2 linked regions of the Neodiprion lecontei genome follow. The protein of the gene in region 2 purifies or fractionates together with the protein of the main gene of each other region. This does not show direct contact. Links are inferred from orthologs where the notes say so. Each region holds a gene or a part of one and is shown on either strand. Other genes may lie near its edges. The genes, in order: isoleucine--tRNA ligase, cytoplasmic; glycine--tRNA ligase.

The links.
Region 1: the proteins of glycine--tRNA ligase (region 2) and isoleucine--tRNA ligase, cytoplasmic fractionate together in Homo sapiens (co-fractionation; 3 studies listed by BioGRID). This does not show direct contact. The link is inferred for Neodiprion lecontei from reciprocal best matches to the Homo sapiens genes GARS1 and IARS1.

What each region holds. Positions count from the first base shown.
Region 1 is NC_060260.1:8,081,682-8,085,607, reverse strand, and holds the start of isoleucine--tRNA ligase, cytoplasmic, read right to left. Parts: upstream 2,619-3,926; 5' UTR 2,192-2,618; coding exon 1-2,191. UniProt on the Homo sapiens protein: Catalyzes the specific attachment of an amino acid to its cognate tRNA in a 2 step reaction: the amino acid (AA) is first activated by ATP to form AA-AMP and then transferred to the acceptor end of the tRNA.
Region 2 is NC_060263.1:40,313,197-40,317,122, forward strand, and holds the start of glycine--tRNA ligase, read left to right. Parts: upstream 1-942; 5' UTR 943-1,219; coding exon 1,220-1,468; intron 1,469-1,709; coding exon 1,710-3,390; intron 3,391-3,492; coding exon 3,493-3,680; intron 3,681-3,821; coding exon 3,822-3,926. Other genes in the region: transcription elongation factor 1 homolog, read right to left, coding at 267-399, 494-609. UniProt on the Homo sapiens protein: Catalyzes the ATP-dependent ligation of glycine to the 3'-end of its cognate tRNA, via the formation of an aminoacyl-adenylate intermediate (Gly-AMP).

The sequences.
Region 1 (3,926 bases), on a different chromosome or scaffold from region 2:
CTATAAATTTTATCAGTCGAGGTACGACAGTGTAAAGTCTATAAGCTTGCATTTCTTCTTTTAGAAATTGCAGCAATGACTGAGTAAAAGAGGTGAGCCATCTATCCATTATATTGTCCGACGAGTCAGAAATCTTCTTGGTTTCATTGTAATTAAATGGTAGTTTTTCTTCACGTTCAAATCTCTCAACATTTTGCATCAAAAATCTAAATGCGTTATACCATGGCAAAAATACGTCTTTTATAATGTCTCGCACACCTTCTTCTTTGAAGCGCAAATTTTCAGCCCTGACTACTGGGGAGTTGATCAAGTACAACCTTAGAGCATCAGCCCCAAATTTATTAAGTACTTCTTTTGGATCTGGATAATTCTGCTTTCGTTTCGACATCTTCTGACCATCGGCAGCAAGGACCAGACCATTAGCAACTAGATTTTTGAACGGTGCCTTTCCAAATAATGCTGTAGAAATTACCAGCAAGGTGTAAAACCAACCACGAGTTTGATCGATACCTTCGGCGATGAAATCAGCTGGGAAACTATCTTCAAAGTCTTTGACTCGTTCAAAAGGGTAATGCATTTGAGCATAAGGCATGGATCCAGATTCAAACCAACAGTCAAATACTTCCGTGACACGTTTAAGAGGAGGATGCCCAGGACGCTTAGAAGGAATGGTCAGATGGTCTATACTTTCTCTGTGAATATCTTCAATCTTGGATCCAGTCAACTGCTCTAATTCTGCAATACTTCCAACACACACAATTTCCATTTTGTCCTCGGACACCCAGAGCGGTATGGGATTACCCCAGTAACGATTTCTACTGATGGCCCAGTCCCTAGCATCTCGAAGCCAATTACCGAAACGTTTGTCTTTAACATATTCAGGCACCCAATAAGTTTCAGAGTTTGCGGTTATTAGCTTGTCTTTGAATTGTTCAACCCTAATAAACCAAGATGGAACTGCTTTGTAGATCAACGGAGTATCGGACCTCCAACAGTAGGGATATTTGTGTTTGCTGGTTCCACTGTGAACAAGTTTTCCTTTTCCTTGCAGATGCTTTATGATATTTTTATCAGCAGTCTTGACATACTGACCCAAAAAGTCACTTACTGGCTCTGTAAAATTACCGCAGTTATCAACAGGGCAGACAACAGACTGATCACGAGTTATTATTCCTGCTGCCAAACAGCAGCGATAATCATCCTCTCCGAAGTATGGTGCTTGATGAACAATTCCAGTACCAGTTTCAGCAGTTACGTAAGTGTCGTTTAATACCACGAAGGCTCCTTTTTCCCTCAGATCGCAAAAGTAGTTAAATGGTGGCTCATAGCGTTTACCTTTAAGGTCAGTGCCCTTCCTCTTACCAACTAATGCATACTGATCTTTAGATTTGTATATAAGGTTCAAACTTGACTCAAGTATGACGTAAATTTTATTCGTAGTCAAGTCTTTCGCCTCGACATACTCAAAATTCGGATTGCAACATAATGCCAGGTTACTGGGAAGAGTCCACGGGGTTGTCGTCCAAGCCAAAATAGATATTCCAGGTTCGTCGAGCAGTGGAAAAGCGATTACTACCGAAGGATCGGCGATGTCTTTGTAGTTCTGACCAGATTCAAAATTGGATAATGGAGTATTACATCCGGTAGAGAAGGGCATTACTTTTACACCTTGATATACGAGACCTTTGTTGAATAATTCCTTAAAGATCCACCATATGGATTCCATATACCAAGGATAAAGAGTTTTATAGTCATTCTTAAAATCGATCCATCGTCCAATCCTTCCAACAATAGTTTCCCACTCAGACGCATAGCGCATTACAATGCTTCTACATTCTTTGTTATAGTTGGCTATCCCCATCTTGGCTACATCATCGGGGCCCTTGATCCCAAGCACTTTGTCGACTTCGAACTCTACTGGTAAGCCATGTGTGTCCCAGCCAAATCTTCGCTCAACATGAAACCCACGCTGATGTGCATACCTCGTGACTATGTCCTTTATTGACCCTGCTAACAAGTGACCATAATGTGGCATACCAGTAGCAAAGGGTGGCCCATCAAAGAAGGAATATCTAGGTTTGCCTTTCGACTGTTTTAAACAAGTATTAAATACGTCCAATTTTTTCCATAACTCGAGGATGACTTCTTCCTCTTTGGGAAAGTTTATTGTATCTGGTAGTTTTTCCGTCATTGCAGTGTTACAATTAGATACTTTGTGATAAACGAATGATGCAACCTGCTACTTCGCAGCCGTATTAGATTGATTTGATATTATTGTATTAGCAGCAGAAAACTATTCACGTGTGAATTCACACATCTTCCTTCACGACTCTGTGCAAATACTCTATGCAATAGTCAGCAAAAAACCGATTTTAGTTTAAATAAATAAAAAGTTTCACACCGGCTGTTCAAACGACCTCAACGCAACGTGCTTCTCTCATCAGCAGAAGTTGCAAATTGTTTTTAGGTTATACTATGGTTATATTCTCACAATCACTGTTCTAGTGTTCTAGCCTGATGATACGAGTTTGTTGGCCGTTGAAACCATAGATATGTAAAATAGAGCGTAAGCAATGGTTTAATTGTCCTATGAACGGAATCGAGTCGGTTCTCTAAAGGACAGCAGATAATAATTCTCGCGCTCTCTCTGTCGCTCTACCCATGGAGTGTGGGCTACGAGAGGGGGGATGAAAAGCCTAGGCAGGTATGTGCAGCTACCCCCACTCCATGGGAAGAGCCACAGAGAGGGCGCGCGAATTATTATCTTCCATCGTTCAGAGAACAGTTAAATCTCTTCTGAGCGTCGTGCCGTGCATCAGTCGTTTCCAAGCAATCGGAGTGAAATAACGTGTTCTCAGTATCGGTTCAAGATTCAGACCGCGTTGTTCAGGTGGTGTCACGTTGTTCGATCAGTGTATTTCCACCATACTCATCTGTGAGTAATACACGATGAGCAGCGTGTAGCCTGTGGAAAAACCGAGTGACTGAAATAAAAACACCCTGCGAATGGTGAAGGTGAATTTCGTGTCCCGAGTTTTCATTGTTTTATGTAATTTCAGATTTAAGTGATGTCTATTTTTGGCTCTGTGCAACGAGTGTCAATTTTATTCTTTTTTTTCTTTGGCTGATTTTCGGCAAATGCGCAGTTCCGTTGTTAGCAAATTTATTTGGTCGGTTCAAAGATACTGCTACAGCACAGAAAGTGAGTGTAGAATCGAGTATCGTTACGGTGCGGATTTTCGGATTATAAGAAATTACTGAAGATCTGAATAGTGTGAAAAATGCGTCACTTCACCAATAAACCTGAGATGCTACAAGAACTACTACGTGTTAAAGTGTGGAGCAGCCCAGAGTCGAGGTAACAATACTTTAATTATTGATTGATAATTCACGGTGGTCATTTAAAGCCGAACTTTTGTTCTTGCATAACATGCAATGTATAAATATGAATCTCGATAACAGTAATAATTGACTTGAAATCTGAAAAGCCGATTTCCTAAATTAATTCAAGTGTTTTGTTTTGCTTTTCACAGATTTAAGCAGAGACTTCCGAGTAACTTCTCCATTTCTCGGCAACGCTGGTGAGTTTGCATGTGTTAGGTTACGGGTTTTTCCCTGGTATTCCCCTGTCACGTGGCGTGGCGGTAACAATTGTTACACAAATCTTCGATTTCTTAGCTGCATGGTTAGGCTCATTCACGATCGCAACGTGCTTAACTTTCGGTTGAATAATTTTTTTTCGCAATGCAATTTAGCGTAGCTTACTTCTAGTTAGAGATTATACACGTTGCTTAAAGTGGAATGAGCATCGCGACAGGTAACCATCGCTTACTCGGCACTCGCGAGATCGAATTGTGTTTCGTAACTGATGTAATAATCTACGTTTGAATTTACCGATGATGCCGTTTAAGTGGTGGGTTCACCTG
Region 2 (3,926 bases):
GTTTGATTATACTGTCAGAACATTTATAGATCAACAAAAGATCTACGCAAATGTGACCAGTCTCCTGATATACAGCTTGTGTACCAAGAGATGATAACCAGAATGTGGCATGACTCAAGTAAAAGAGGTATCCATGGCCCTTGCATCGTATTTCGAATACCATTGTCAGTTCTGAATCTATAGTTTAGTCCATCATGCTTTAGAGCGAAATATAATTTAGTGTTTTAATCTTTGTCTTCCGTTTTTTCTTCTGCTACAATTGCAGTTTAGTTGGCAGTCTCACAGGCATCAATCCAATCATTATAGACATCAAGAGGCTCTGATAATAGGTTTATGGTTGTTTGAAAGTCCTCCATACATACACGACACGTTATTCTGGCCGTGTTCCTTGATTTGTCCCTGAAAAAAATTGGCCATTTAATATGATAATCGGTTTTAAAGTGACAAATATATCTAACAACAACGCAATTATCCGTATCTTGTGTTTACTCACATCTTAACCTCGCAGGATTTTTCGTGGTTGCAAAACGGACAATTGAACTGGGTGTCAAGCGGTTCGATCGCCTTTCGTTTACTCGGCGGTTTCCTTTTGCTCTTTCTACGTCCCATTGCGTCTCAATAACTAAAGTCTTTCTTCCAAATACAAATATTTAATGATAAACTCTGTTTACACTTCTCCCCGTTCTTTCAGTTGTCACCGGCTGCCCGCTGACTTATCTGAACGTCGAAGTAGACGCTTCAGTTGACAGTTCTGCCACTACACCGGGTGCTAATTTCTCAGCAAAGTACTTCGTACGTTCCGAAAGTATGGCAGGTACAAGGTGAACTTCGAACAATGACGTCATATGATACGAATCCAACTCGTATATCCGAACACGCACAACGATTGTGACCGGTCAGTAGCTTTGCTACTGTTTGTTGCACTCAGCTGTATTCAACAATCGCCAACCATAGGCAATCATAAACCTATGCCAATTCCGAATATGATCAATGTAATGCAACTAGCACTTCAAAGAAGGAATAATTATATCTCTCCGTCCTAATTCCGTTCTAATTATTAGGAAGAAAAAAAAAGGATTTTTCCCATCTACGAAGTCTAACCTTTCCCATTTCTTTTCATCTTACTCGTGCTGTTTCCGGTAGAATCTGACAACTATACGGTAGTCGGTAACCAGCGTGCCAATTCCCCGGCGAAAACTGGGGATCGAGATCGCTGCGAATGCAGATTTTTCTCCATACTGTGCGAGCCACATGCAAGTTTGGAGCTCGGTACGGGATCAAATATCTCAGGTTCCTCGATCAAATTTCAAGAAATCTTGCTGTTAGTTCGAGGTTATATTCCGAAACTCCTCAGTGGGGCTCGAAGAAGAAGCACAGAAAAGTAAAGCTGCACTTTCAGCTACAGAGTATGGCAGATCCAAAGATAGAAGAGGTCCTCGCGCCCCTGCGATCAAGTGTCAAGGAGCAGGTGAGTGCCATATGGCTTCAGATTTTTACTCCAAAAAAGTTTTCATTAACAACACAATGTTTGGAAACTTTTTGTATTTCGGTTTATTCAAGAATTCGCGAAAAAAAATTAAGAAAACTGCATGTATTTCCCCTCTAACAAAATCCGTCTGTGTATTGCATCAGAGTAAGCATGGCTTTCTTTCTTCTCGTCCAATAATCTTGTCACTCTGGCTTATAATTTTCTTTTTTGTTTCTTAAAGGGGGACCTGGTCCGTAAACTTAAATCTGATGGAGCACCAGACTTTGATGTCAAGAAGGCTGTTGCAGAGCTCAAGGCACGTAAAAAGCTCCTTGAGGACAAGGAACTGTCGCTGATCCCATCGGCGTCGTTTGATCGTGCAAAAATGGAGGATCTTCTGAAGCGAAGGTTCTTTCTTGACCAGTCGTTTGCCATCTACGGTGGGATAACAGGACAGTATGATTTCGGTCCAATGGGATGTGCCTTGAAATCAAATTTCCTTAGCGTCTGGAGAAGCTTCTTTGTTTTAGAGGAACAGATGCTAGAAGTTGATTGTTCCATCCTAACGCCTGAACCGGTTTTAAAAGCTTCTGGACATGTGGACCGATTTGCAGATTTAATGATAAAGGATGTAAAGACTGGAGAATGCTTTAGGCTAGATCATTTCATAAAAGCACATTTGGAGAAAGTTTCATTGGACAAGAAAACTGACGAAAGTTTGCGCGCTGAGTGCCAAGACATCATCATCAAGTTGGATGGTATGAGTAAGCAAGAACTAGCAGCAGTTGTGTCGAGATTCAACATGAAATCACCGATAACTGGCAATGATCTAACGGAACCTATCGAATTCAATTTGATGTTTGCCACGCAGATTGGCCCATCTGGACTGATCAAAGGGTTCTTGAGGCCGGAAACTGCTCAAGGAATTTTCGTGAACTTTAAAAGGCTGTTGGAATTCAATTCAGGCAAGCTTCCCTTCGCTGCTGCACAGATTGGTAATGCTTTCAGAAATGAAATATCACCGAGATCCGGACTCATCCGTGTCAGAGAATTCACAATGGCTGAGATTGAACATTTTTGCGACCCCAACGATAAAAATCATCCGAAATTCGAGTCTGTGAAGCACACTAAGATGCATCTCTACTCTGCATGTAGCCAAATGGATGGGAAAAGTGCAGAATACATGGAAATTGGAGAAGCTGTAAAGACAGGGCTAGTAGACAATGAGACTCTAGGATACTTCATGGCTAGGATCCAGCAGTTTTTACTCAAAGTTGGAATAGATCCTGCTAAGTTACGCTTTCGGCAGCACATGGGCAACGAAATGGCGCATTATGCTTGCGATTGCTGGGACGCTGAATGCTTGACGTCCTACGGCTGGATAGAGTGTGTTGGATGCGCAGACAGGTCCGCGTACGATCTTACTCAGCACACTAAGGCGACAGGGGTCAGATTGATCGCTGAAAAGAAGCTGGCTGAGCCAAAAGTCGTTGACGTTGTCGAAGCATTCCCGAACAAGGGTGTCCTAGGTAAAGCATTTAAAAAGGAAGCCAAAGCAGTTTTGGACGCACTGGCTGCGTTGAATAAAAACGAAATCGCGGTGCTTGAAGGAAAAATAAGTAAAAACGAGGACTACGATCTCGTTTTGCATGATGGGGCATCAATCAAAATTACAAAGGACATGGTCTCGATAAAACGTTACCAAAAAACTTTACACGTTGAGGAAATCACACCGTCTGTCGTTGAACCCTCATTTGGTGTTGGTAGAGTCATGTATTCTCTCTTTGAACACAATTTCCGGATGAGAGAAGGTGATGAGCAAAGGACATACTTGAGTTTGCCTCCAGCAGTGTCACCCCTGAAATGTTCTGTCTTGCCACTCAGTGGTAATACAGAATTTACACCATTTATTAAGAAACTATGTAAGTGCCACCCATAATTAATGGGTGTAAGCCAACAATTTTTCACCTTGTTCAGATATCTTTTATGTACTATCTAAAATTGACCTTATTTTGTCATTTTAGCACAAGATTTGACTGCATTCGACATATCCCATAGAGTAGACGACTCTTCAGGCAGTATCGGTAGAAGATATGCTCGTACAGATGAAATTGCCATACCTTTTGGCATTACAATAGACTTTGATTCTCTGAAGACTCCGCATACAGCAACCCTTAGAGAACGGGATAGCATGGATCAAGTCAGAATAAATGTAAGTTTCTTATATTGATCAGCCGGCTGTAATGTGCTATACTTATCTTACCAAACCAAAATTGAGCTTTTGAAAACATCTTTTTTTTCCATATCTTTAAAACGTTTTGGGAGTTTAAACATGTGTTCTTCTCTGTTTCAGTTGGACGAGCTCCCAACCGTGGTGAAAGACTTGTCTCTATGTAAAATAACATGGGCTGAAGTAGCACAAAAGTATCCTAAGTTTGAACAACAAGAGAATGCAAAA